Diceros bicornis minor: one gene and its partners. The protein of the gene in region 4 interacts with the protein of the main gene of each other region in a biochemical or structural test. Links are inferred from orthologs where the notes say so. Each region holds a gene or a part of one and is shown on either strand. Other genes may lie near its edges. The genes, in order: GTF2H3, SUPT5H, GTF2E1 and CDK7.

Region 1 (7,191 bases), on a different chromosome or scaffold from region 4:
TTCATCTTCTGAAAATATTAACAAAAAATAAAAAACATTAGCTTCATGAAAGTGAATTAAAGCTAACATTCCCAATTTCTGAATTAAATCCAAATCAAGCATCACTATACGCCTTTCCATGTTTATCGTCCTACAACCATGAGATTAACAGAAAGCCAAGTTCTTGTAAAGATGTAAAGCTCTGGGGGCCCTTAGCAAGCCCTTGCCTGCTTTCTGCACCACTGCATCCTTCACACACTAGAAGATGAGCCCCACAAGGAGGAATTTTTGTTTGTTTTGTCCCTGCTTACCTCTGCTCCCAGCACACTGCCTAGCCATAGAGGATGCTCAATAAACATACACTAAACAAACTCAAAGACATATGCATTTTAAATGCCTGGTCAAGGACAGAAGGCAGTGATTAACCAGCAGTGAGAATCACTAGTGGTGGAATTTGGGGCATGCGGGGGTAAAAGGGAAACAGGAATCAATGTGGCCTCAAGTCCATCAAATCACCCAGCAGCACAGCCAACTGTGGGTCCAATTAGCAACCAATTTTACAAAGGTGAACACCAAAGAGGGAAAAGCAACTCCTGTGTAAAGGAGAGTTCACTGTGAAAAGGAACTAGGCTGCTCTCCAAAGAGACAGATACAACTAAACAGGCTAACTATACACATTAACTCATTCAACAAAAATTTACACTAAGTATCACTGTTAGGTGTTGGGGATACCGGGTCCAAGCCTTCAAAAAGCCTACATTCTTACTGAGGTGACAGACATACGAACCCATAAGCACACGCTGTTACAAAAAACCCAGGATGTTCATTTAACAGCAAAAAGCAATAATGCCTTTCCTGCCCCCATTACTTCCTTCCTGCAGTTCCCTGTCTCCTGTGTCAGGATAATCCCCACCCATCTTTGATTTCTGCTCACATATCCAAATCCTATTTACTCTTCAAGGCTCCGAACCAATGCTTCCTCTTTCTTCTCCCAAGTTTTCCAACCAGTCCTGGCTCCCCCATCTCAGGACAGCGGGAACGTCAGCCTCCTCTGTATCAGGCACTGGCATATGTCATCCTATAATCCCATTCCATGCTGACAACAACCCATCGAGGGACATATCATTGCTGTCTTTCATCAATTATAACATGTACTCTCTCCTTTTTTTTTTCACATTTAACAGTTGCTGAAATCAGGATGGCATCTGACGATTAAGAGTGGCGGTATTCTTCTCTCAGTGTTATATTAAATAAAAGCATATTTCATAATCAACATAGTCTTAGATTACATGAAATACGGTATTCCTATTGTGCGAATGAAAGTAACTTGCTCTAAGTCACATGGTCTGCTAGCAAGTAGCAAAGCCAGTGGCCTGCTTTGAAGACAGATCTGCTTGACTCGAAAGGTTGTGGCTTTTCATTGCCCCACTGGCTGGTTCTGACCACCCACAGCACTGACCCTCTTCTAATGACACTTATACTCACTACCTCATTTTACAGTTAGTTGTGTTTCTGACCTCTTCCCAACCCTGCCCACTAGACTGTGGACTCCTCAAAGAATGAGGATTTTTGCTAATCCTGGGATGAAATAATACATGTAAATCATACAACAAAGTGCCCAGTACAGAAAAGGCACTTAATAACCGGGTCTCCCACAGGCCCTCACTCCCCCGCCCCTAAGCTCTTAAGCCTTTGGCCTCATTCTCCATCAGGCCCCACCCCACAATTCTCAGGGCCATCCACTCCTTGCTGCTACCAAGAAGCCTGAGAAAAAGACCAAGTGTCGCCTGTGAGAAGGGGTGTGTATCCAGACACACACAATGACCCTGTGAATTTCCTTCTTTGGGTCTCTACCTCCTCTTTGCAGACAGGGGCCATGCCAGGTCTGCCTCCCTCACAGGGCGTTACGGGGATTAAAACAGATAAAAGGAAGCATGGACAACTGTCACAGCCTCCAAAAGGACCTATGTCTATTCTTGCTCCCCACAGTCCATTTTCCACACAGCAGCCAAAGTGACCTTTTAAAATTGTGAATCAGATAGTAACACTTCCTTGCTTAAAACCCTAAAATCCCTTTGTAATACACTTAAAAATAAAGCTCAAGGGCCCGGCACCATGGCCTAGTGGTTCAGTTCGCAGGTTCCACTTCAGCCGCCTGGTTTTGTGGGTCTGGATCCCAGGCGCCGACCTACATCACTCGTCAGCCACGCTGTGGTGGGGTCCCACATATAAAGTAGAGGAAGTTGGCACAGATGTTAGCTCAGGGCTAATCTTCCTCAGAAAAAAAAAAACATTAAAATAAAATAAAGCTCTTTGTCATGGCCCACAAGGGCCGTGCACCTGGCCAGCTCTCCGATCTCATCCCTCTAGCTCACCCTGCTCCTGCCACTCTGGCCTCTTTTTCCTTCCTTTAAGACATCAGCCTCTACAACTGGTAGCATAACGGATGAATTAAAGTCTCTCCACCTTCCCCTACCCCTAGGCTCCCCATTTCTGTCTTCTCAGTATAATGTCGTGGCTCAACTTGCCACAGGACCTTCGCATAGTCATTCAAGTCTTAGTTCCAAGACCACGGTGTCCCCTGCACTCGTATCTCAAGTAGCTCTTCCTTGATCGTCCCCTAAGCACAATCTAATACACTATCCCTTTACTGTCTTCATAGCTCTTGTCACCCTTGGAAATTATTTTTATTTACTTGCCTATTGTCTGTCTCGCGCACTAGACCGTAACCTCCACGAAGGCCCTGTCTGTCACGTTCTCTACTGTATTCTCCAGCGCATAAAATAACGCCTGACACACAGGAGGCGATCCAAAAACATTTAGTGAATGAATGAATGAGTACATTCGCTATTCCTCTAAAGACCAAAGACGTTCCACCCAGCCCAAATATATACTCCATTTGGCCGGTCATGGCCGGTCCGAGTCCGCGTAGCCCTGGGGTCCGGGTCCCCCCTGGCGCTGCCCTCACCGTCTGAGACCATGGCTGCCCGGGTCCGCCAGCGCAGAGCCAGCAGCAGTCCTGCGCCTCTCCCGGAACCTGTGCACTCCGACTTCCGGCGCCGCCGGGTGACGAGCAGGGGATTTGGCCCAGGTCGCGCGCCGTACCCACGGCCCCGCCCCCCCCCCCCAAAGCGCCGGAAGTGGAGAGCGGAACCGCGCCGCGCGTTGTCAGTCCCTGTGGCTCGGACCCCCCCGCGCGGTGGTGGGACCCATCCCGGTGGCGCAGGCGTCTCGGGCCCCTCGGGCTCCGGGGTCCGGAGGGCACCATGGACGACAGGGGTAAATGGGGATGGGACGGGCCTGCTGGGCGCGTCTCCCCGGCTGGGCTCCGGGAGAGCTCGCTTTCCAAGTTCAGGCTGCTCGGTTGGATGTGCTTTCTCTGGTCACAGCTCAGTACCTCTCGCTGCTCCTGTATCCAAGGGTTGGGTCCTGTGGGTATCCCCAGACACCCCCTCTGCCCACGCTTTCCAGTGCCCTTCTCCAAAAAGTGAGATTCGGACGAAATGTGCAGGTCTTCACAGCCTTGATTTCCTCATATGTGAAGTATGAGTAAGACTCCCTGCACTAGTGGATCTGGTACTAGAATCAAAAGGAAAGGGCAGATTTGATGTGCTCATCTGGTAGAGTACTACAAACTAATGTATGTAGTACCTTTCATGTAAAAAAATAAGAGGGGGGTGGCCTTCTCCATACTCATACATGTACGTACGTACGTAGGTGAGTAGGCTTGACTTAGCATATCGACGGGAGGGGTGCTGGAGCAATTGGTAAGGTGGTTGACTCTGGGATTCTCTCAGCACTTGGGGTCGAGAATAAGAAGAGAAGGACCTTTCACTATCATTCGGTAAGGCTTAAATTTTATGCCATTGTATGTACACGGATAGCTTTTTCAAAATGAGAGAGAAAGAGAGTTTGCAAATAGTAGTGTCATCTCTATGCCCACCAACATTTGTGATGCCCGTGAAGCCAAACACCCCGAAAAGAAAGTGTTTTTAAAATTAGTTTTCTTCGTAAGGTCAACAGTCATTGACAAGCTCTCTGGTCTTACATCCTGCTACATGAATTTGATGAATCACTTTTTTCTTTCTTCCCAGAATTAATTGAATACTTTAAGTCTCAAATGAAAGAAGATCCTGACATGGCCTCAGCAGTGGCTGCCATCCGGACTTTGCTGGAGTACTTGAAGAGAGATAAAGGTAAAGAGGGTCGTCCTCAAACACTCTGGGCGTTAGGAAAGTCTTCTAATAACTGTTAGACGTGTAGAAAGTGAGAGATGTATGTGCGGCTACATAAGGTAATCTAGCCCCAAGCTCAGCTTCTTCCTGCATTTCAGTCCTCCCTTTAACCTGGAGAGAGCCCTCAAGGTATCATTAAATGAGTCCCCTTTTATAAATGAAATGTACTTCGAATCAAGAGTGACCATTTTATATCGAGTTAACCATGAAGCTTAAATTAGAGCAGTAGTTCAGCTGTACAAGTGTTTATTGAGCTTCTGACTTGTGCCAGATTCTGTGCAGATGCCACAGAGAACGTTCCAGAATAAATTGTGGTATTAATGTCATTCGTTGTCATTGCCTACTAATTCAAGCATCCTAAATGTAAGCGTCTGGCTATAGCATCACATCTTGTATAAGCAAAATAAAGCCTTCTTTATTCTGAAGGGCTGGCCTAAAGACATATGTCTCTAGGGCAACCTCCAGTGTCTAACCATTGTCCTTACAGTAACACCCAAACACCTAGGCCTCACCTGCCCCGCCTCACAGACCTCCTGTTACTGGGACTTAATTTCCTTCCATGCTGTCTCTCACTGAACTGTGCTTCAGCGGTGCTGGCCTCTCTTTGTTTCTCACACCAAATTTGTTCCCATCTCAAGGCCTTTGCATTGGCGTGGTCTGCGCCTAGAACCTTTCCCACTGGATCTCTGTGCGGCTGGATCCTTTCTTAGGTCTCGGTTTAAATGGCCCCCACTCCAAGAGGCCATCACTGTTAACTGTCTAAAGTAGCTTCTCCTTTCTCATCATTCTGCTTTTCTCCATCCTCATTACAATCTGTAATTAACTTGCTTATTTTTTGTGTGCTTGTTTATCTGCCTCTTCCACTAGAAAGGGAGTGGGGAGACAAGGAGGGAGACGAGGGACCCTGTCAGTCCTGTTCACGGATGTATCTCTGGCGTCTAGAACAGTGCCTGGTGTACAGTATACACGCAATAAAGACTGGTTGAATGAATGAATGAACTGCAGACCCATCAAGGGGCGGTGATACTGAAATCTACGTCACATTCCTCATGTGATCATTCCAGGGGAGACACTCCAGGGCCTGAGGGCGAATCTCACCAGGGCCATAAAAACCCTGTGTGGCGTGGACTCCTCCGTGGCCGTGTCCTCAGGCGGGGAGCTCTTCCTGCGCTTCATCAGCCTTGCCTCCCTGGAAGACTCGGTGAGCCCCCACCCCGCCTTGGGTTACCTTTTTGCTTCTCTGTTTGGCTACAAATATTCTCAGCTTTACCCGGATCTTCCAGTTCGCTTCATTTTGCTCTTTCCTCCTAGGATTACTCCAAATGTAAAGAAACCATGATTGAGCGGGGAGAGCTTTTTCTCAGGAGAATATCACTGTCGAGAAATAAAATTGCAGATCTGTGCCATACTTTCATTAAAGATGGGGCGGTGAGTAGATATTCATCATGTGTGGTAATTGGGAGCAAGGACTTTGGAGGTAGACTCCTGGGGTAAAATCCTGCTTCTGCCACTTACTTGCTGTGTAACCTTGGACAAGTTACTTAACCTCTCTGTGCTGCAGTTTTCTCATCTATTAAATAAGGGTAGTAATAGTACCTACCTCATAGAGGAGTTGTGAGGATTAATGAGATGGTGTGTATAAGGGCTGTGCACCATGCCTGCCACATGGTAAGCACTGTATAAATGTAGGTATTATTATAGATGGTTGTCATTTTAAACAGGCAGAAAAAAACACTGGGACAGCATGGATGATTCTTGATTTGATAAGATGGCTTACTAAATAAGTATTATTATTACTGGATATGTATTAATTAATCTGAATTAAATCAACACAGAGCAGCTCTTGTCACTGGGTGATACCGACTGTCTTCCTGGTGACAGTCAGCACTGGTTTGAGATTTTCTTTTTAACTTCTTTTCAAATGCTGTTACCAAGAGGCAAAGCTGCCAGGTGTTTATGAGTAAAGAAAGACAGGACCTGCAAGTTAAGTCCTTCTCCCTGCCAAAGGGCAATCAAACTTGGGAGGCTCTCCCAGCAGCCTACCTCCTTTCTGCCATCCTAGCCCCCACCAACTGTAAAATGACTGACTTGCATTTTGACTCTGAAATCTTGTCCTCTGTTTTATTACCTCTTCCCAACCTTTGAAGTATGTTATTAAATAAATGACATACTAGATGTGAGTGGAACTTATACAAAAGCCAGTTGCAAACAAAGCCATTTTTAGGCAAGTGGAGGCAAAGACCGCCTCTTGCTGAGGCCGTCTCCTTCCGCAGACTCGCCGTGCTGTCGGTGTTCTGTGGGTTTCAGTTGCTCTGGGGTAGTCTAATGTGCAATCCCCACCCACATGAGCGCTGATTTAGACTGAACTTAGAGCAGAGCTGCTCAAATTGGAACATGCAGATGAACCACCTGGGGATCTTATAAAATGCAGATTCTGGGTTAGCAGGTCTGGGGCGGAGCCTGAGAACCTGCATTTCTAACAAGCTCTCAGGTGAGACCCAGGAAGGAGCTCGAGAGCTGTGTCCATCCATCCTGCATTATGTAGTCCTCTGTACTCTATTCCTTATAGGTTACATGTAAATGTCTGCAAATTGTATCTGGCCCATAGATGGGTTGTTTACCCCGAACAGTATTTATTAATTTTTAAAAAATTAAGTTAGCCAACATTTAAATATTGGATCTTTAGCTCCTCTAGAAAAATCGGATGATCTGGCAACAGTGGACCATGTGGTGACAGCTGGAGCTTAGCCTTTCTACTTTGCTGCTGGCCCCACCCAACCCACTGCATTTACTTATGCTCCCTGCCTGGTGCCTGTAGGCCCAAACCATGTCTTACAAATAGGAAAGACAACCCAAAGAGCCTAATGGAGGAAAGGCTTTGTGTCTTGTGAGTGACACTGTGTGGGGATTCCGCTTCTGTACCTGCTATGGGAAGGGGAGACTCCATGATATATTGCTCTAGCAGAAACCTTTTTCA
Region 2 (7,278 bases), on a different chromosome or scaffold from region 4:
AGAGAGAGGGGGGAGGGGGAGGGGGAAGGAGGAAGGGAGCACCCAGAGGCTGACTTGGAGGGACAGACAGACAGATACACAGCACAGGAGAGAGACAGGCACACATGGAGGAGAAAGGAAGATGGAACAGACGGTGAAGAGGAGAAAGAAAATAGACAACAGGTCAGTCAGAGATGGACCCAGAAAATACAAGTGACAGATTCAGAGGCAGAGAGGCCAACTCTCAGAGAAAGACGACAGACAGGTACAGGCCGGCATGGAGATTTTGAGACACTTGAGACAGAAATAGAAGTAGAAAAGAGAGCAGAGCCCCCCCCCCCCCCAATGTACCTGCAGACATGGATGAGGCCCAGCACAGGCATTTTCCAATGAGAAGACAGGCCACAGAATGCACACACTCACACACTCTGTACTGCCTTACAGGCCTGTTTGGGGGACAGGGGAGGCTTCCAAACTCTCCAGTCTTTCTGGGCTGATCCTCACACCCTTACTAAATCTTGTATCTTCCCTGGGGAGGAAGGGGGTCAGGGAGCCCTCTGACTCCCTCCCTCCCCACTCTAGCATCACCATCTTCTCTGGCATTTTGGAGAACATTCCCTGAGTGTCTATGGATTGAGTGGAGCTGGAACTGGGGGGTTCATGGACAGGGGCACTTCCCTTCATCCACTACAGTCTTCCAACTTGCTCCATCTCTCTGTACCTCTTGCTTCCAGGACGCTGGCCCAGGACCAGAGAAAGCCTGGGGATGGGCAGGGTGTCCATATGGCCTCTCTGGACCATCCTCCTGCTGATGTGGCCTTTGGGGGGCCTAGGACCACCCCTCTGCCCTCGGGAGCCCTTCTACTTCCTCGTTGCCCTCATGAAGATGCTGGTGAGGAAGGGGGAGGGGGGAGCCAGCAGATACAGCAGGGAGATGGTGGGGTGGGGGACATGTTTGAGGAGGGGTCAGGCTCTCCCCCTCCAAGATCTGATTCTCCTGCCTACCCCAAAATTGTAGGGAAACAAAAATGATGGCACTCTCTACACCCCAGATGATTTCTCGGTGAGTATTTCATTAGCTCCTTACTGAAGTTGGAAGTTTAGAGAATCCACTAGGCTTGAAACACACATATGTTGAGGGCTGGTGTTCTGGCAGTACAGCCCCTGACCCAGCCTCCAGTCTTGACAAATATATTTTGTGCCCTGCTGTTTCCAACACCTAGAACAGTGACTGGCTCGTAATAACAGCAAATGATGATGATGGTGATTATAGCTACACTTAAAATAGCACTTGCTCTGTGCCAGGTACTGGTCTAAACACTTTAAGTATATTAGCTTATTTACTCTTCACACTGACCCTATGAGGTAGACAGGGCCTCCGTGTATGGATGTGAAGGTTGTACCCTGCACAAGGATCCCACATGTACAATATTCACATCCCAGACATATTTGTCAATTTCTGGCAGATGACAGTAAATTATCTTGTTCTAACAAAATCAGCTCTTAGAAGTGCTTTAAGGGGCTGGCCCGGTGGTGCAAGCGGTTAGGTGTGCGCGCTCTGCTGCAGTGACCCAGGGTTTGCCGGTTCGGATCCCAGGCGCGCACCGATGCACCGCTTGTCAGGGCATGCTGTGGCGGCATCCCATATAAAGTAGAGGAAGATGGGCACAGATGTTAGCCCAGGGCCAGTCTTCCTCAGTAAAAAAGAGGAGGCTTGGCATCGGATGTTAGCTCAGGGCTGGTCTTCCTCACACACAAAAAAAAGGAATAACTTAAAAAAAAAAAGTGCTTTAAAGGAGTGTCTTTTTCTAATTTACACAGGTACAGTACAAGCTAACGTCAGCCCTAAAGGTAGGGAGTATTCAGAGCTCCATTTTACAGATGAGGAAACTGAGGCCTAAAGAGGTGAAGGGGCTTGTCCCAGGCCACAAGTTAGAAACTCTGGCGGTGGGGAGTGGGGATCAGGCCCTTGCCCACCAGATCACTCTGTCCCCCTAGGTGTGTCCTGCGGAGACTCTAGGCTGCTTCCGGCTGGAGCTGTCTGTTATAGGGTTGGAGGAGGGCCCATCTGTGGGGACTGCTGTGTTCCGGCTACAGCGTCTGCTGGATGCCCTGGGGTCCCGGATGTGGGGGACTGGCCAGGGCCCTTGCCCACCCTGCGAAGGACATCCCCAGAGACCTGTCCCTCTCTTTCTGGCCAAACTCTTGGAGTTATTACAGGGGGCTTGTGCTCAGCGCCTGCCCTCAACATGAGCTTGGAGGACACAGGCTCCCTGGTGCTCCTGGAGAGGCTGGGTAGAGAGAGGGAGAGACTTGGTCTCCAGCCCTACCTCCCAAACCCTAAGCCCTCTCCTTCTAGGACAGATGATGCCCCCCCTGGAGCCCGAGGAGCCAAGGGGAAGAGGAGAGAAGGAAGAAAATAAGGTGAGATCCAAAGCCTGAAGTCTCTGACCTCTTGGGGCAGGGGGGGTTGGATAAATTGGCACCCACCTGTCTCTATTTTCCCTCTCTTTCAGATACTCCCTTCTCTCTCCTCTTCCAGGAAGGAACAGAGCATTGCACAGGTGTCTCCTAACCTCATCCCCACCACTTGAGGACAGGGAGAGTCTTGTGGCTCACATCCCTCACCGCAAATAATTACCACCTGGAGAACTTTCACGTGATACTGATGGTCAGGCCCCCACTCAGAGAATTTGATAACTGGTCTCTGGTGGATCTTGAACATCTATATTTTTAAAGTCAACTTTATTGAGGTATAATTTACATACAGTAAAAGCCATCCGTTTTAAGTGTACATTTCAATGAGTTCTGACAAACATATACGCATTGCCACATTTCCATCAAAAATTCCACAATTCCCCCAAGCATTCCCTCATGCCCCTTCCCAGTCTCCGCCTCTAGTCCTAGACACCCGCTAATCTGCTTTCTGTCTGTAATAGATTAGTTTTGCTTCCTCCAGAGTTTCATATGAATGGAATCATACGGTACATATCCTAGTGTCTGGCTTCTTTCACTCAGCGTGGTTTTTTTGTGGTTCATTCATGCGTGTACCAGTAGTCTGTTACTCTTCGGTTGTATGGATGTACCCCAACTTGTGTCTGCATTCTCCTCATGGTGGACATTGGGTTGTTTCCAGTTTGCGGCCATTATGCATCTCTCTCATCTTATCTTCTCAAGTGTTCTTCTGTGGTGCCAGGGTTGAGAGTTGAGAACCACTGATACATCAAAGAAGAACTTTCTATGGGGGCACTATTACCCTTCCCTCTCTTTTCTGGAGTAAATGTCTTTCTGGAGCAGTGTCATAATAGGCATTTGATATGTGGAATCTTATTTTAAAGAGCTGCTGTTTAAAGGAACCAAGCTTATGGAAGGAGACACGTCTCTATGGAGTGCTCAGCCCCTCCCCAGTCTGTCTTGGATTCAATTTAGGATTGTTGATCCCGGAGTGTGTGCTTATGCAGAGATGCACCTGGGGTATACTTACCCCCTGGTAGCTGTCTTGTGAGCCTGCTGCCGACCCAACCGCAACATACCCCTGTAACTAACTAGGTGCATATTAAATGTCTGTAAATTGAATCCAGGTGTCTCACTGCTTATGCGAGAAATTTTAGCAGTGTGTTGTAAAAGCTTCTGATTTTTTTTTTCCTTCATCAGGTTAATTTTTCATCTCTCTTCCTCTTGCCTCGTCCTCTTTGGCACCTCTCTGACAAATAATTACTAATACATAAATCCACATTTAAATCAACTTAGACTGTAAAGGAAAACAAGGGCTTTGGGGTCACCCAGACTTGGAGAGGAGTCATGGGTCTGCCGCTTTCCAGTTTATTTTTCAGAGGTTCGGTTTCCTCGGTTGCAGCATGGGGGTACTTCCCTCCTAGGAATGCTTTAGAGGGTCCGTGAGATAAAGTCTGATTGGTTTGCTAATTTATTATTATTATTATTTGCTAATTCCCTGCCTGCTCACGGCTTGGCACATGGCGTTAGTGATCTGGACTAAACTCAAGCACGAATTCCTGGCTGGAAAAGGCCGGGTGCGAGCGGGGAATAACGCTGCGCGCGTTGACCCTCTCAAGATGTCGGCTCCACGCCCTGCATTAAGACAGCTCTGCCACTCTCAAGATGGCGTCCTGGAAGTGCGTCGCCGGGGTCGAGTCCCGGAAATCTCGCGTTAGGCGAGGCCAAGGGGTAGGTTCTCGCGAGAGGGCACGTCAGTCCCAACTAGGCGTCGTGTGAACAGCAGCTGCTGCCGAGGGCGGAGGTGGTGCCGGAGCGGTGAGGGGTGGGTCGCACGCCGTGGTGGCAGGCCTGGGGGTGGCCGGGGGCCGGGGAGGCGTAGAAGCCAGATTCGGGGACTCGGGAGGTGTAGCAGGTGGCGTAGGGGGCCCCGTTTCGCGTTCACAGTTGACGGAACGAGGCTGCCGGAAGTGCGCTGAGGGGTTTTTCTTCTCCCCGGGACCCGGCGGGGAAACTGAGGCTCGGGGTGGGGCTCGGGACTGGGGGACGCGCTGAGGCCGCCGTCTTTTCCCGCAAGAGCAGATGTCGGACAGCGAGGACAGCAACTTCTCCGAGGAGGAGGACAGCGAGCGCAGCAGTGACGGCGAGGAGGCCGAGGTCTGTGGCTGGCACGCCGGAGGAGGCCCTGCGCCCGGGGACAGCACCGGGGCAGAAAGGCCCCGGGGGCAGCTCGGAGGGGCTCCGAACGAGCTCTGGCCTCTGGGAGCTTCCAGGTTGTCGGGGGCGAGAAAGTAGGGAAACCCAAGTCAAGCAGAGGCACAGGTGCTGGAGGCCAGGGATGCTCCGGGACGTGGGATGACAGGCGGTGTGTTTAAAGGGCCGGACGTATAGTAAGTGCTCACTCTTAGTTTTTATATTCAGGAACGCTCAGTCCTTCTAGGAATGTATTTTTAGCGCCTACTATGTGCTAGGCACAATTCTGGGCCCTTGGGCTATTCCAGTAAACAAAACAGTTGAAAAATCTCTGCCCTCGTGCATGTAAATAAACATAGCTGATGAGTAAGTCATTCGGTAAGCTGGCAGTTACTATGGAGGAGAGGGGAGAAGAGGAATAGGGAGGCCTGCCTACACTTTAAATAGCGTGATCAGAGCGAGTCTGGGCGGCCATGTTTGAAAAAAAGATCATTGGAGGTGAGGGAGGGAGCCATGGCCTATGGAAGAAGGGTGTCCCAGTCGGGGGACCAGCAGGTGTAAAGTTGGGAGCATGTCTGCAGGGTTCAGGCGGTAACAAGGGGTCCAGTTTGGCTGGATCAAAGTGAGTGCAACAGAGAAGTAACTGGAGACGGAGCATATGTTGAGGGGCACGGTGTGGAATTGGTCTTTGACTGAGTGAGACGCATTCGTGAGAAGGTGTTGAGCAAAGAAGGGATGTGATCTAATGTTTTGAAAGGCTCTCTGTGGCTTTGGGTCTGTTGAATGTCACTGTTTCAGGAACCAAATAACAAACGTGTCCTGGGGCATATCTGGTTTCCCATATTCTTTTGTTAACTATTAATATCTTTTATTTATTTCTGACTTGTTTGTTGAGCGAATAAATGTTCGCGCATCTACTGCGGTCTTCCAGATACTTCCTAGGTGTTGGAGAGAATGGAGCAAGGCAAATCTTTGCTTTCATGGAGTTTACATTTGGTAGACAGCAGTTACAAACCAATAAAGAGAGGACACGATGATTATAGATGTCTTCTTTGATCTCCATAAACATGTTTTTGTGTGTGTGAGGAAGATCAGCCCTGAGCTAACATCTGATGCCAATCCTCCTCTTTTTGCTGAGGAAGACTGGCCCTGGGCTACCATCTGTGCCCATCCTCCTCTACGTTATATGGGACGCCGCCACAGCATGGCCTGAGGAGCCGTGTGTCGGTGCACGCCCAGGATCCGAACCCTCACCCTCAGGCTGCCGAAGTGGAGCGCACACACCGAACCGCCGGGCCACCGGACCAGCCCCTGAACATATTTTTTAAGTTAGTTGCCAACACTTGTAAGGGCAATTTCGTGTAAAAAATCAAGAATCCCTGCTTTTCTGGGAAAATGGGAGGAGCCAGCAACCTGAGACCCAGGATTGTTCTACACAGCAGCTCTTTGCTCAAAAAGTGGCAGCCCTCTTTAGAACTGGGAATTTTCTCCATTTCCCAGGATATATCAATGGCCATTTCTCATCATGCCTGCCTAGTGGCAGATTTAAGAAAAGGAAAGATTTAGGGGCCGGCCCTGTGGCGTAGCAGTTAAGTGCGCGCACTCTGCTGCTGGCGGCCCGGGGTTCGGATCCCAGGCGCACACCGACACACGGCTTGTCAGCTGTGGTGGCATCCCACATAAAGTGAAGGAAGATGGGCACGGATGTTAGCCCAGGGCCAGTCTTCCTCAGCAAACAGAGGAGGATTGGCATGGATGTTAGCTCAGGGCTGATCTTCCTCACAAAAAAAAAAAAAAAAAAAGAAAACGAAAGAGTTCACATACCTGTGTCCTGGGAAACATCAGGTAGACGGCGAGTGCTGTGGGTTTCTCCTGAGCTGCCGCACTTATTTAGGTTGCCTGCTTGCCCTCTGTGGGCATTTGATTGTCAATCCTTGTTGTGCCCTTTGGGGCGTTCTCAGCTTCCAGTGAAGAGTTGGAGGAATTGGGGTGTTGTGGCGGGGAGTGGGGGGAAGTGGGAGGATGCCAGGAAGGGCCTTTGCTCTGAGCTGTAGCGCTGGGTCCTTGGTTTCTGACTCATGGCTTCAAGACACTGCTTGTGGTTAAAGCCTGGTGGTAATGAGACCAGGATCCCCGGTTCCTTTTCCTGGCTGGGGCAATCTGGTTCGCACTGTGTAAGTCTCACTTCCCCAACACCACACCAGGCTCTTGACTTACCTGCTAGCTCATCTGCTGTCAGCGTGTGAGGCAGAGGGGCAGTGTGAGGCCTGCCCTCACTGCCAGAGATAGAACTGGATGGTCTTTTCAGACAGCCTCCTTGAAGGACCGGGTCCTGTGGTAGACAGACAGGGATGACAAATTATGAGCCACTGTTGGGGGAATCGGCTGACTCACCATTCTCAGCCCCAGTAACTTGCTCACTCATTCATTCAACAAGTATTTTTGAGTTCCTGTCGTGTTGGGTTCACAGCCTCCCTCATGGAGCTCTCTGTCCTGGGGTGGAGGTGGTTTTATAAATAGATGGTTCCTTCAGGGGCTGCTGAGAATGGATGATGTAAGAGCGCGTTCAAATCCTGAGATAACAGAGAGATAGTAGTGGGAGCTCTGTCCTCAGGGAGTGAGGAGCCAGATTTGGAAAGAAGGCTTTGCTGG
Region 3 (7,856 bases), on a different chromosome or scaffold from region 4:
TCATCCCTGGCTGTAAAGCAGAATCATCTGCAGGGCATTTAAAAATATCCACCCTGGGCCCCAATCCCAGAGATTCTCTTTCAGCTGGGCTGGGAGGGCCAGATCAAGCAATTATCTTATTTTAAAAGTTCTTTGGGTATCTCTAATACACAGAAAAAGTCCCTGACCACTGCTCCAGACAAATCTGGTGCCTGGCTATTACATATACTGGCAATGCACATCCCGCATGGGGAGGACCCGGTGCCACTTATCATTCAGCCTGTTTCCTTTGCCTGAAACACCTTAGGGGGCCCTTAAGATTTGAGCAAGGGAGCGACATGAGGACTCCGCAATCCAATTGTTTTGAGTTTTGAATCCCAGTTCCATCATTTCTTAGCCCAGGACCCTTGAAAATTCTCAGTCTCAGTTTCCTCATATATAAAAAGTGATAAACAGCACCTTCTTCATAGAGTTGATGGATGGATTAAATAAGATAATTCGTGTAAAGTGTTCTGATTTGAAAGCAGATGTAAGGCTGATATAAGAGTTCCATTATGTATTGGCATTCAGAATAAGACCCCCTATTTAGGAAAGTGACTCTGACAACAATATGAAAACTGGACTGAAGTAAGTGAAGATGCAGGCACTGTGGAGGTATGAGGAGATATAGCAACCAAACCTAAGCTGCGGAGGAGAGCACAACTGTAAGAGGACAGGATGAATGAAACTTATTATCGAAACAAAATCAAAAGGACCCAATAATAATGGAAATGGAGTAACAGGGTAGGAAAAATTTAAATAGCTATTTAGGGGTGTTTTTTTTTTACAATTTTTTTATTATGGTAAAAAACGCATAACATTTACCAATTAACCATTTTTAAGTATACAGTTCAATGGTATTAAATACGTTCATAAGGTTGTGCAACTGTCACCACCATCCATCTCCGTAACTCTTTTCATCTTGTAAAAGTGAAATGCTATACCCATTAAACAATAACATAGTTTAATATGTTATTAAACAATAACATGTAGCTATTTGCTTTGAGCCAGTGTATCCAGAAAGAGAAAAGTACTAGTATGAGAAATAGGTTAACACCTGAAGAGGAACAAGTTTGGAAGAAACGAGGTATTCAACTTTTAGTTGCTTGTCTTTGAGGAGATACCACAGAATATTCTGGTGAAGATGTCCAGCAGGTAGCTGAACAAATGAACCTGGAGCTCAGGAAAGAAGTCATGCTGTGCCACCTTGTTCAAAATCTGTGTTCTAAAATCCTCCTTCCTGACCACTGCGTTCTCTCCTCCACCACTTCTACTTCCCCACTTATGCTGAATCTCCTCCTCAATCTCTGGATTTCTTAAGTTACTTAGGTCAGAGGTCTCAAACTGGCATCCTGTGCCACACTGTTTAACCCAAAGAATGTTTTGAAAATTTTCTGAATTACAATTACATTGTCAACATTTAAAAATCGTGAGATTTAACATAAAATTCAACTTTCAGCTCCTCTTGAAAACTGGAAATATCTGAGGAAAAACGTGAAGCCATGCTACCACATGGAAACAATAAGCTGAAGAGCAGTCGACAGTTTTAAACAGGGAAGGAGCTTGGCTGGCCTCTGGAGACTTTTGAGTGTGTGACTTCTCAGGGCTAGCCCTTGGGAGATGATGATCAGTCATCTCCCAGCCTCACCTATCTCCCTACCCAGCCCAGACCCCAAAGGCAAGTTGGTTTTGTTTTTGAACCATATGCATTCTAATCACAAAAACATTTAGGGCCGGCCCCGTGGCTTAGCGGTTAAGTGCGCGCGCTCTGCTGCTGGCGGCCTGGGTTCGGATCCCGAGCGTGCAGACGCACCGCTTCTCCGGCCATGCTGAGGCCGCGTCCCACATACATCAACTAGAAGGATGTGCAGCTATGACATACAACTATCTACTGGGGCTTTGGGGGGGAAAAAAAAAAAGAAAAAAAAAAAAAACATTTAAGGACTACTGTGTACCAGGCACAGAGTTGGAGAAACAATGTTGAAATGAATGCATTCTCTGCACTGTCTACTCTTGTCAACCTCACCTCCAGACAGACTGGCATTGTCGCAATTCTATGAGCCACACATGCTTTCCCCACTTCCAGGCCTTTGCACATGCTGTTCTTTCTGCCCCCAAATCTAAGCCCAAACTCCCTTCTCCTAGCCATCCTTCATATCTCAAATGACATTTCCTCAGAGACCTTTCCAGATTCCCGAGTAGCTTAGTATGACTCCCTTCCACACGTTCCCATAGCTCTTTCCCGTTCTTCCTTCAGGTGCGTAGACTTGTACTTTTCTCCATGTCTATCTCTGAGACCAGGGGCTTACAATAGTTCACCAATGACTTTCCAGCCTCCAGCACAGCTAGGCAAGTACTTCCATAAAACTTTCAACAGATCCCCTAAGCACGTGTTCTTCTAACATGCCCACCCTGCCAGCTTCCCCCAATTCACTGCCTCCACTGCTGCTTCCAGAGTAAAAGAGAGATAGGCTATTGGAAACCCTCTTCATTAACTTCAAATGGTTTTAAGCAGGAGGTGACTGGATCAAATTCGCGATTTTAAAAGATTATGCTGACTGCAGGGTGAAAAATAAAAGGAAAAAGGAGTGGATGCGGAGAGCCCAGGTAGATTATTTCAGTATACCACTATTCCAGTTCTAGAACCTGGATTCTATACATCTAACTGTGGTTTTCTCAGTTACCATATTTCATAGTAGTCTCCACGCCTTCCTACATAAAGCGGCTATCACCGCGAAACCTCCGGACCAGCTGCCCTCCACGAGCCCGGTTCAGTAATGTTCACTCCTCCCCACTGCGAGCCCCCGAGGCCCTAGATTCCCTCGGACTCTGCCAGCTGAGTCCGGGGGCCACGCTCGTCGCAGCCAAGGCCGTCCTACCCGAGGTCGCACACGGGGCCGCTCCGGGGTCAATGGTTCTTTGGAGGACCAACAAGAGGACCAAGTCAACAGAGGAGCTAAGAGGAGGAAGGTAGCTAAGAAGAGAGGAGCGAAGAGAAGGAGAAACCCTGAAATGCGGCTCCGGGTCAGGGAACCGAGAACAAGGAACAGGGAATAAGGTTTACCAAAGCGAATCCTCGAACACTCCCACTACAGCTTCCCTCAGCGCCTCAACTACCGGCTTAAAGGAGCCACGCCACCCGTGCGACAAAGAAAACGCATTATTCCTGCGACCAGCTTTGGAAACCACAGCTACTCTTAACCAGGCGGGCCAATCAGCACAGAGAAGCCTTCAATCAAGACAGTCGCGCTCCGATTGGCCAATGAAATTGAAGGCTCGGCCGTCCATACTCAGCTCTGATTGGCCTACAATCCCGGAACAGGCGTTAACTCCGGCAAGGTTGTGGCAAGATGGCGTCCCTGGATCGGGTGAAGGTACTGGTGTTGGGAGACTCAGGTGAGCGGTTTAACCCAACTCTGGGGCTCCCGGCACTTTTGAGTTATTCGATAACCTTCCCGCTTCACTAGTCCCTCCCCTCCAACTAACTGGCTCCGGCCTGTGGCTGAAAGCCCTCTCAACCCTCAAGACTACACTTCCCAGAGGACTTTGCTCTGACGCAGCAGCGGCGCCGTGTGGGTGGGGGGCTTAGAGCCCCGGCCCTTCTCCGCCTTGGAAACTCTCCACGTTGGTCTCCTTGGCGACTAGCGTGTATTGTCAATTCCTTTGTTTTAAAAGATATGCTCACACTGAGTACTGTATTGGGCGTCGTGCAAAGGAGACAGAAGTTAGGACTATGCCCTCAAGAGATTTTGTTCCTTAAGGAGGTCAAACGGGCACTAAGAAGGATGACACTTGTCAACCGAGTAAAAATCACTACAATTTAAGCCTCAGATATTTATTTGGGCAATTAGAATTGCAGTTTGAGAGACACAGATTCAGATAGAAATCCAAAACATGTTCCGCTAGGGAGTAAAAGTCAGGGGCTTTTAAAGGCAAAGGGAGGTTGTATTACAAAGAGTTTTAATTGCAGTTGGAGGCAAAGAGCTAGTCTTGGCTAAACATTGACTGCTTATTGATTCTATCTTCAGAAAGTCCACATCCTCAGTCTTTGCTACCTGGTTATCGATTCTCCTGCTGACTTCTCAAACAATTGCTTGTAAAACAATTGCAGTTTTGGCCCGGTCCAAAGGTTTGGCCCAGTCCAGTGTTCAAGACAGCAAAGCAGTTTTTCTGGAAAGGCAGCTCCAACTCTAATGGCTCCACTGTAGTCAATTTTTACACACTGTTCCAAATGCGTTGCATGCATTAACTCATTTAATCCTGAGATCAGCCCTATTACCCTATTTTACAGGTGAGAAAAGTGAGGCAGAGAGATGTAAATGATAGAACCAAGTTGAACCCAGAGTCCCTGTACTTTATACTAAGCGATATTATGAAATGAGATATTGGGTGGTAGTCCTATTTTACTCTCAGCTGGGCTTCTTTATTTCTTTGTTCTCTTTAATCGTAATTGAAAGTCCATTATGTGCTAAGTTGTAAGAAATAGAGAAATTAAGATAAAGACCATATTATGAAGCTAAGCCCAATTTAATCCTAGTGTTAAAATTCTTCTTTTGACACCTTGGACATTTGAAAACTAGAACTGAAGTCTGCATTTCTCCCTCCCCCCTCACTATCTTCTCTTTCTCACTATAACCTCCACTCCTATGCTCCTTAAGAAATTGGAATAAATGCTAGCTGTGCATTTCATAGATTTGCTTTTCTGGAGTTGACCTTTGAATGTGTGCTGTGAGCAAAGACGTTGTGCCAGATGATTGGAAGTGGAGAGGACATACCCCAAAGAGCTTGAGAACTAGCCTTAAAGAACTGAACAAAGTTGTTAGGGAGAGGAGAAGGTTAAGAACGTTTTCACGTTGCCTGAAGACTATTTGTATTGTGAAAAATTTTACAGAGAGCATTGTTTAATATTCCCTTAAGAAAGTTGCATTAGGAAATTCTATTGACCTAATCCAATTTGTGTCAATTCCAGTTCTTTAGCTTGAAGTGGTGATGTTTATTTAATAAAATTACTCAGTTTTACGGATGAAGAAAGTAGTGGTAGTTTGAAGAGACTTGGCAAGAGTATCATCAAGTAGGATTTAGAACTGGAATCCAGAGCTAACATGGTTCTTTATGATATGTGAAGTGGGTGTTCTCACTCATCTATAATTCCCTTTTCCATTGCATCTAACGATCCTTCCATGTTACATATTGTTGGAACTAGTCGGTTTTTCTTTTTTTTCCTCCAAAAATACTTGAGTACCTATTACATAGCAGGCACTGTATTAGGTGCTGGGGTTATAACTGTGACATCAATGCATTACATAACAGAGTTGAATTGGCTGCTGCATTAAATGTAGAAAAGTGATCAGGCAATTAGTAAGCTTTTTTTTTTTCCCCATTATAGTTTAGTTATAAAACAGAAGTCTCAGCCATGCCCACCAGGAAAAGTGATTAATCTCGTCACACATTCAGTGATGTTAAGCTATGTGCCAAGTCAGTTACTGTCTTTTTATCAGTTCCCTTTTAACAGTGATTTGCTATCTGACAGGTTAGAATATACTTTTTACACTTCATCTGCCTTTGTATTCAAACTTAAAAGTTTACTTTTGAATAAAGGCTTATTTCCCTCATGAAATTTTGAGGATTTCACAAATTTGTAAAGGAATGACTTGGGACTTAGAGATTTGTTTTTGTATCCCATAGAGATATTTGCTAATTTAGTTAGGAATCATGAAAGTGTCAGTAATCCGCAAATACTGTTTTCTCTTTGTTCTTTCAGAGATAAGAGATGAGCATAACACATTACCAACAATTATATTTGGAGCTGGTATTTATTTCATTATATTGGGCCTTTGTCCCCCCAGCAAACCAAGTGCATTCTTTTGATCTAATTTAGTTTTAATGGTGAAAACACAGAATCAGAACCTCCCAAAATTCTTAAATAAATAAATAGTTAGCCATTGTTCCTGGTACTTCAGTTGTTCTTACTGTTGAGAGTTCATCCAGTGTTAGATAACTGTTATCACCCAAAGTTAATTCATGGAGAGCTATACAGTATTACTGCATAAAGATGTTTACTCTGACACAGTTAAGCGTTACTAGAAGCTCAAGCCTTGCATCAAGCTGATAACTAAATGCCTAGATATATGTCTCCAACATAAACCTGCGTGCAAACACAAACATCAACAGCATGCCCTGAAGGTCACAGATGGAATGCAGTAAATACAAAGACAAAGCTAAGTTTGAGTGCACAAAAATCTTAAATGTCTGTATGTAAAAAAAGAAGAAGAATAAAAGGGAAACCTGGAAAATGTTTCATCAGTTACAGGAGACCGCTAATATATGAGGAGGTTGTGTAAACTGATAGCACTAAAACCCAGTAGATAAATGGGCAGAGCACATGAATAGATAATTCATGAGAGAAAGACAAGTGATTAGCAAAGATGATCATAATGTGTATCTTTACCAGAAGGTAGAGAAATGCAGACTAAAGCGAGATGTCCCTTTTTTTCTCTTATCAAATTAACAAAGATGAAAAAGCACCTACACAATAGTGTTGAGGTACAACAAGACCTGCAGGCCTATGTGTATGTCTGGTGGCAGAGTAACCAGATGAAAGCTGTCAATATATATCAAGAACTTTAAATGTGCACTTCCTTTTACATATTAATTTCACTTCTGGGAAAGTATACTAAGGAAATAATTTTAAACATTGAATAGAAATCTTTTCTTAGCATAGTAAAATTTCAAAACACCCTAAATATCTAATAATGAGGAAGTGGTTAAGTAAATTGTCATGTCAACTCTCTGAACTACAATGGAAACATTAAAAATGTTTAGGAGGATTCTGTAGTAACATGGAAAATTTTAGTCACTAAATAAATACTAATTAAGGCCATGTTCTGAGTACTGGAGATAAAAAGATAAGTAAAACCCAGTCCCAGTCCTCAGAGAACTTAAACAGAGTGAATAAAACCTATAAACAAACAAGTGCAATAATGTGTTTAAGTGCTCTGTAGAAAAATGTACAGGATACAGTGGAGACCCAGACGATGGTGGATGATGTGCTCAGTTCTACCTGTGTGGAGTCAGAAAAGACTTTATAACTAGAATGTTGCTGAGTCTTAAAAATAATTCACCAGGCCAACAGAGGGGAAATGGAGGGGGAGGATGGAAAGGATATTCCAAACAGAACCAGCTGTGTAAACAAAGGCTTATGTTTTATTGTTGCTAAGTACACTGTGTATATATTCACGGTAACAACCTGCTTACAGAAAAACCCTGCTTATGGAATTAAATAAACCTACATGTTGACAACAGTGCTCTTCAGGTGATTTTTTCCTTTTTTTAATACTTTCTAGATTATCTGTAAATATAACTTTTTATAATAAAAAATAAACGTAAGTGATAGTTGCATACACACACAATGCACACAAAGGGATGGTCTAAATTTTGATACAACTAGTGATGCATCAAGATTCACCAATCATGCTTGTCATGATGGTATCTTAAAATGCTGTTAATTGAATGAGTGACTACACATGGACGTACAGGGAGAACTCATTTCCTTTCCTCTTCATACAGATCTCAGAATGCTAGCCCTAGCATTAATAACTAGATTGCCCTCAATCCAGGAGCTCTAAAAGAAAATAAAATGCTGCCCTAAGATAAAGGGCCATGTTGTAGAAGGAGGGAGTAGAGTTGTTCTCTTTTTCCACAGGGTAAGTCTGGGCCAAATGGTTGGCTCCCTTTTAAAAATCACTGTGTGGAAGAACTCAAGTGTCTTAAGTATGGAATTGTGAAATATGAGTCCCTGTTACTGACAGTGTTCAAGCACAATCTGGAAGACTATCTAA
Region 4 (7,539 bases):
TTAAATCGGTCCAACCACTTTGGAGAGCAATCTGACAATATCTGGTGAGGTTGATGCTGTGTATTCTCTAGGTAGCAGTAATTCATAATTGGTCTCAACCATAGATACACTTTCTAGAGAAACTCACACACGCATAGGAACGTCTGTAGAAGGGCTGTATTAAGGGAAAACTTTGAAGAAAACAGTTTGTCTATCCAACAAGAGTTTGGATAGACAAATTTTAGTGTAGTCATATAACAGAATCTAATCATCAGTGAGCATGACTAAACCAGATCTACATGTATCGATGTGCAAGATTTCAGAAATAATGTTGATTCAGAAAAACAAGATGCAGAAAAATATTTTATACATTTATATTTGAAGTTTAAAAGTATGCAATACTATATATTGTTGAGATACATATATTTGAGACAAATATTGAAAAATGAGAAACGCTCCAAAAGGCCAGCAATAGGGGATTGGTTAAATAAACTTTTACAAAACATAAATTCAATATGATCTGTTTGAAAGGATAAGGTAGATCAATGCTATTTTAAAAGCAAGATGCAATAGGTGAAAGAACACAGAATAGCTTATTATTCCTTTTTGGTAAAATTACACATAAATGTTAGTAAATGAACGGGAGCAGAAATTATGAGAGTTGGGAGCAGAAGGTCCACAAGCACCAAATCCTCAATGTTTATAGTAGGAAACAGATAATGTCTAAAACGAGGGGACAGGGGGCATGAGGGGTGGGAACCACTCAAGAAATAACGATACAAGCATATTACTTAAAGAAATAGAGGTAAATACCACATTAAACAGTTATAGGAATTGAAAGTCATTGCTCCAAGGACTGAAAAACAGGAGTAGAAGAGTCAGGCATGTTAAAAAGCCTTGGCCTCTTAACTGACTTTTAAAACCACAAAGATGTATTATTTGAAATAAAAATTAAACGTAAAAGAAGATTCCACCATGAGTCACCTTCAAAGTGTAAAAGTCTATCACAGAGAAACAGGATGGATTCTAAATCCTAATTAATATTAAAAGCAAGCAAACAAAAAAACCTACTAGGACTTTCAAACAACTACAGAAAATGTGCCAACAGCTTGAAAAGATTGTATCAGTCAGTCAAGTAAATATATTTTTAATGAGTGTCTATAAATGTACAGTCCTAAGTAAATAGACAATAAACTCATAGATAAGATTTAAGATTTTGATAAATGCTATGAAGATAACAGAGAAATATGGCATAGAACACTAGGGAAGGAGGGAGGCACACCTGTTTTAGCTAGAGCCACCAGCGAAGGCCTCTCTGTGGGGGAGACATTTGAGTGAAACCTAAATGATAAAGGAATCAGCCATGCCACGTTTTAGAGGAAAAATATGCTAACCACAAAGCAAGGCAAATGCAGTGATCCTGGGACTGGAATGAAGTTAATGAGCTCAAGGGACAGAAAGGTCAATGCGACTAGAATATAGTGAACCGGGGGTAGAGTCGAAAAGGTAACTTTAGAAAGGGTCAGGAGAGTTAAGCGTTGCACAAGGGAGTAGCTATAGTAGCTATAGCACTGGATTATAGAACATAAGCTGGAAAACAACGCCATGAAAGAAGTTAGAGAAAGTGAAAAAACAATGTCAGGAATAATTGTGGAGACGAAGAGAAGGAGCCAGGTGTTAACTGAATGAGGGCAATATGCTTCAAAGGACGTAGGGAATCTGAAGGAGAAACAGATTCAAAGCAGCAACAGGAACAATAGGAAGGTGGAGGTTACCTACCCCACCAACAGACCTTGAGATGTGAGAAAAACAGCCTCTTCTTGAAAGGGTTATTGATTTCAAGAGTATGCGGAAACAGCAAGCAACCTGGCAGCAGGACACCTGGATTTAAAGCCCAGCTTTAGCAATTACTACCTGTGTCATCTTGACAAGTCACCTAATCTCTCTAGCCTCAGGTACCTCGACTATAAAACAGGGATATTTATTTTACCTACTTCACAAGGTTGTTTTGGGGATTAAATGAAAAAATGTAAGTGAAAGTGCTTGGCATATAGAAAGTTAGCTAAATATGACCGAAGTTTCTTGAATGAATGCAAGTAAGAAAGCTCCTTAAATCATTTTTAAAAACGCAGCACATCAATGGTGTTAATGCTGGTGAAAGCCTTTCATGGTAAATCTTTACACAGAAAATACAGATATGATACACACCGTGGATGCAGGTGAGGCAGAAATAGTGACCTGGAAAGATCATATTAAATAGCTCTGAGGACCCAACAGATAGGCAGTACTCGTCCCCTTTGCCAACATCTGAGTTTACAGAGCGATCATAACTTATAGCTTCCTCTTCTTTTCAATTACAATTATTGGAACAAAAACTAGTTCAACCCGAGTTCCACCTTGGAACATAAGAGGCTAATAAATTCTATTTTCTCTGAAAGTGACATGGTAACTCCTCATTAGCAGAGCACGGTGAAGAGCAGTAAAACGGCCATCCATCAGCTCACACATACAGACGTCTTCAAAAAGACTCAAGGAAAACAACACACTGTAAACTCACTTTCTTAATGGCGACAATTTGGTTGGTGTTCTTGTCTCTGGCCTTATAAACCGTGGCAAACTAGAGAGAAAAACAGGAATAACGTTAAGTCTGCGGGAGTTTTTCTGTTTGTGGTTGCCTTTTTACTTTTTTAGATTTGGGCGAAGCAAAGAACCAGGGTTCTCGGAGCCGACTCGCGGCGGCCTGAAACGTGGTGGGGCAGTCCACGTCCCGTTCCAGCCTGCTCTGCGGAAAGGAGGGGGCCGCTCAGGGGCTCACCTGCGGGCGTACCGCGGGGCGGCAGGGGGCCTGGGCAGCCTCGCCCAAAGGGAACGAGCAGCCAGGCCAGTCCTCTGGCTTCCACTTCAGCCTGCCAGCGTGAGGCGGCTCGGCGCTCTCTGCTCAGGGCCCTCCGAATCCCGCCCCAGAGTCTCACCTGTCCCTCCCCGAGGAAGTCCAGTTTTTCATAACGCTTTGCTCGCGACTTCACGTCCACAGCCATCCGTCGCGCGAAGCCGACTCCAGCTGAAAGGGCCGAGTTCTGAACACAGCAGGAATTTAAAGCTACCTTTAATCCCCCAACAGCCACTTCCGTTCACTGGTTCCGACGCTTTATTAGCTCCGCCCCCACATCCGGGATGGGCGTGAGTGACATTAAATAAGTCCAGCCAGAGCCCGCCCTACGGAGGCTGTGCGAGGCCGGGCTCGCTGGTTTGCTGCTATGCGCCCCGCGCTGTCACGTGGTTGCCTGTTGGTGCCGGAAGCGGCGTGTTTTCGGCGATGGATGTCTGTGTCGCCCTGTTACCGCTGTAACTTAGACATTTTCTTCACGACTGGGGACGGGTCACCGTTCTAATACGATGTTCTGAGTTCGGGCTTTAATAGGTGTGTATGAGTGTGGAAAGCTTGGCCTTGTCCCTGATCTCGCTTTCTAGTTGTTGCTCGAGGGCGTCCTGTCGCCACGGTTACTAAGAACGCTTAGCCCCGCAATGTCAGATTATTTAGAGGAGTGCCCAGTTCTTAAGGGCTGGTCAAGAGGCATTCTTAGCCCACTCCCTTTATGAAGAAGCACACCCAGGGAAACAAAATCCAAGTCAGCTCAAGAATTTTGTGCTTTGAAACACACCATATGGTCTTCAGTTTTCTACTCTGTAAAATGAAAATAATAATAGACTACATCATAGGTGGTTGTGAGGATTAAATGAGACATGCAGAAAGTTTAGACAGAGTAAGTGCTCAATTAAATGTTAACTGGTGATCAGTACCCAACTTTGTCATAAATTTTCATACAAATCAAAATTTAAACACATTAATTCATTTATTCAATGAATATATATTGTTTACTGTGTGCCAGGCTCTGTTGTAGACTCTGAGAAGTCAGCGGGCCAAAAGACAAAGATCCCTGACTTCCAATGAGAGGAGAAAACAAACAAGTAAAATATGTGTTGATACATAGTGATAAGTGCTATAGACATAATAAAGCCGGGAAAGGGCATAGAGATAGTAGGGTTTGCAGTTTTAAACAGGGTGGTACAAGAAAGATATCACTGAAAAGCCACTGCAGAGTTTTGAGCAGACAAGTGATATGATCTGACTCAATGTTTTAAAAGGTTCACTCTGACTGTTGTGAGAGACTAAACTATAGACTTAGAAGGGCAAGGAAAAACAAGAAGGCCTGTTAGAGAATTATTGTAATAATCCAGTTGGCTATATTAAGTGCTACATGTTTGGCTTCTAGCCAATAGGATTTGCTAACAGTCTGGATATGGGTTGTTGGGAAGAAACAGGATAATTCCAAGGTTTTGAGCTCTGGAGCATTTGATGTTTCTAAGAATTGAGAATCCTGATTTTCAGAGGTATGTTGGGAAGGCATCGGAATACCAAGACACAATTTGATCAAGGTAATAGAGTAAAGGTTGAGTCCTTGCTCTGGATCTAGATACTTGCATTTGAATACTGGCCTTACAAATATTTAATCACTAGATGTGTAACTTGGGCAAATTATTTAACCTTGCTGTTCCTAGTTTCCTCCTAATAGGAACTACTCATAGTGTTGCTGCAAGGCTTAAATGACCTCACACTTCAAAAAACCCTTAGAATAGTGTCTGACAGTGCTCATTTTATGTTAGCCATTACATAACTACTATTGCTTATCTTCCAGCTCTTTGTCACTACTTGGGTCTTTATTGAGCTCTAATATGTTCATGGGAAAAATTCTCATACATTGCAGAAAACACACCATCTTTTACCACTTATATCTCTTAACTGTGGCAAGTCATACCTAATGATACATGGTGTCACATGACTTGGGTCAAAGTTCCTTCTGAAAGACATCACTGTAACAGTAATCTAACCTCACTTGTAGTAGAAATAAGCTAAACAATGAGCTAAATTTGATGGTACACCTGTGAGGCTTGAGGTTCCCAAGTGTGCCATGCCATATGAATTGATAATCACTCCATTATACCATGCTGCTGACAAGTAAATTCCTGTTTGGGGACATTTTAAATAGGGTAACAAAGGCAGTGTTTAGGTGATATTCTGGGTTCATTAGATCATTGTATATATAAAATACCATCCAGCATCTGTATAGCATTTTACAGTTTACAAAGCACTTTCACACATTGGTAGTAGCCAGCTTCCAAGATGGCCCCAGTGATTCTTGCTTTCTGGTATTAATGCACTTGTGTAGTCTCCTCCCACAACAAAACAGGCTGTTCTGTGTGACCAATCAAATATGGCAGAAGACAGTGTCTGCAGCTTCTGAGTCTAGACCATAAATGGCATTGCTGCTTCTGCCTTGCATGCTTAGATCATTTGCTCTGGGGAGAAGTCAGCCCATCATGTCATGAATTAACTCAGACAGCCCTGTGGAGAGGAACTGAGGCCTCCTACCAACAGCCAGCATCAACCTGCCAGCCACGTGAGTGAGCGACCTTGGAGGTAGATCGTCCAGCCCCAGTCAAGCCTTTAGATAACTGCAGCCCCAGTTGGCATCTGATTGCAACCTCATGAGAGACACTGAACAGAACTGTGTCTGCCTGAATTCCTGACCCAGAGAAACCATGAGCTATTAATTGATTATTGTTGTTTGTAGTCACTAAGCTTGGGGGTGATTTGTTACAAAGTAATGGGCAATACACTAATTTGGTCCTGCCTGTCACACTGTATAGTACCGGAGAGGAAAACTGAAACTTGGACAAATTAAGCAATTTGCTAATGGTTACATATATTTAAGTGCTTAACCTCTAAATGAAAATACAGGCTATTTACTCTAAGCCTAGCCAGAATTCTTTCTATGACACCATCCTCCTTGGGAACTCATCCTGTGACAGCAATTCCCTCTGACATGCCTTTTTGCCATACCTGTACTCACAAATTCTGTAAAAGTGATATATTTTTTCTTTGTGACTTTCATGGCAGCAGCTGTAGTAAGGTGCCCTGCAAGCAGTTCCAGTATTGGGCTTTCTAACTGCTGGCCCATAGTATTGCTCAAGCCAGTCGTTTTTTTGGGGGGGGAGAAAGGTCAGCCCTGAGGTAACATCCATGCCAATCCTCCTCTTTTTGCTGAGGAAGACTGGCCCTGGGCTAACATCTGTGCCCATCTTCCTCTACTTTATATGGGATGCCGCCACAGCATGGCCTGACAAGCGGTGCATCGGTGTGCACCCGGGATCCAAACCCGGGCGGCCTGCAGCAGAGTGCGCGCATTTAACCACTAAGCCATGGGCTGGCCCCTCAAGCTAGTCTTAATTACTTGAACCCACTCTGTTTCTGAAAGCAAAAAAAATGTCCTAGGCTTCTTTTTACTGAAATGAGAAAGCTAAGAGAAAAATGAGAATAGTGCTAGTTTTTAAGAAAATTTCCCAAATAAATTTCTTAAAAAACAAAATCATAAATCATGTATTTTTCATGAGTCACCAGAACAGCTTATTGCCGGCACCAAACCCCTACCTCATATTCAAGTTTGCCAATGCTTATACTAGGCCAGAAAAAAGAATTTAGAAGAGAAGATCAACTCTAAAATAGTAAAAACAAAAACAAAAACAAAAACACAGTAAACATTAACCCATAGGGAACTGGGCAAATGTAGAAACGTACTTGACAACAGTTCTACTCTGTCTATTGCTCATGATCTACTCTTATTTTTAGGGATGACTTCTTTAAAGCATATTTTAGAAATCATTAAAGGTGTGGAAGAGAATTTATTGAGCTTTGTTAGGCTTTACTTTGACAATAATACATACCTTTGGCACAGGAAGACTCTATTAATAAAGTTTCATAAATTGCCTTAATAAGGTAAATATTTAGGTTGATTTTATGAGGCTTTCAGACAGTAAATTTGAGAAAATTAATGGTTATCAGGATTTGCACACATGATCTCAATCAAAAAGTAAAATAAACCAAAGAACAAGACTATCTTAACACTCTTCAAAACATAATAAATTGCAATTTCTACTCAAACATTTATTCCTATGCTATATTCACTTGATTTCTTAATTTATTTTCCATTTTCCATTGACATTTGTTTCTGAATATAGGTTACAAATAATCTTTGTGTTAACACCCCAGTCTTATTACCACAAAGCCACTTGTTTTACTTTGCCTATATTTGTATCATTTACAGTAGGATACGCTTATTAAGCCAATTATACTGCAGTAAATTTGTGAATGAAAAACGTTAAGAGAATTAAGAGCAAATAATGGAGTCATTATTTCACTGATCCTCCTCCAATTTCGGGAAAAGCACTTCCCGAAAGCAGCAATTTTGCCTGATAAATTCTTTCCATATCTAAACAGAAACTGAAAGAAAAGTGAAATTATGGGAAACCTGTGATAGTTTACGAGAGATTGTGTGCTTTTAATAGTTCAACACTGGTAATACTTGATAATCAAGAGTAAATTAATAGGCTAACATTTAAAAATGTATACTTTAATAAGTATAAAGTATATAAACCATTAGGTAAGCTTGTGGAGAAGCTGACCAAGATACATAAATTAGGAGATACAGGTGTCCATCTAAA

The links.
Region 1: the proteins of CDK7 (region 4) and GTF2H3 form a complex in vitro, tested with the Homo sapiens proteins (2 studies listed by BioGRID). The link is inferred for Diceros bicornis minor from reciprocal best matches to the Homo sapiens genes CDK7 and GTF2H3.
Region 2: of the proteins of CDK7 (region 4) and SUPT5H, one has a biochemical effect on the other in vitro, tested with the Homo sapiens proteins (2 studies listed by BioGRID, with this or other methods). The link is inferred for Diceros bicornis minor from reciprocal best matches to the Homo sapiens genes CDK7 and SUPT5H.
Region 3: of the proteins of CDK7 (region 4) and GTF2E1, one has a biochemical effect on the other in vitro, tested with the Homo sapiens proteins (3 studies listed by BioGRID, with this or other methods). The link is inferred for Diceros bicornis minor from reciprocal best matches to the Homo sapiens genes CDK7 and GTF2E1.

What each region holds. Positions count from the first base shown.
Region 1 is NC_080774.1:6,853,941-6,861,131, forward strand, and holds the start of GTF2H3 (general transcription factor IIH subunit 3), read right to left. Parts: upstream 3,016-7,191; 5' UTR 2,961-3,015; coding exon 2,948-2,960; intron 9-2,947; coding exon 1-8. Other genes in the region: EIF2B1 (translation initiation factor eIF-2B subunit alpha), read left to right, coding at 3,246-3,258, 4,074-4,175, 5,279-5,415, 5,526-5,642. UniProt on the Homo sapiens protein: Component of the general transcription and DNA repair factor IIH (TFIIH) core complex, which is involved in general and transcription-coupled nucleotide excision repair (NER) of damaged DNA and, when complexed to CAK, in RNA transcription by RNA polymerase II.
Region 2 is NC_080773.1:13,442,623-13,449,900, forward strand, and holds the start of SUPT5H (transcription elongation factor SPT5), read left to right. Parts: upstream 1-4,170; 5' UTR 4,171-4,258; intron 4,259-4,515; coding exon 4,516-4,590; intron 4,591-7,278. UniProt on the Homo sapiens protein: Component of the DRB sensitivity-inducing factor complex (DSIF complex), which regulates mRNA processing and transcription elongation by RNA polymerase II.
Region 3 is NC_080754.1:21,984,050-21,991,905, reverse strand, and holds the start of GTF2E1 (general transcription factor IIE subunit 1), read right to left. Parts: upstream 3,158-7,856; 5' UTR 3,083-3,157; intron 3,058-3,082; exon of another isoform or gene 2,898-3,057; intron 1-2,897. Other genes in the region: RABL3 (rab-like protein 3), read left to right, coding at 3,369-3,414.
Region 4 is NC_080759.1:8,285,353-8,292,891, forward strand, and holds the start of CDK7 (cyclin-dependent kinase 7), read right to left. Parts: upstream 3,117-7,539; 5' UTR 3,018-3,116; coding exon 2,952-3,017; intron 2,597-2,951; coding exon 2,537-2,596; intron 1-2,536. UniProt on the Homo sapiens protein: Serine/threonine kinase involved in cell cycle control and in RNA polymerase II-mediated RNA transcription. Cyclin-dependent kinases (CDKs) are activated by the binding to a cyclin and mediate the progression through the cell cycle.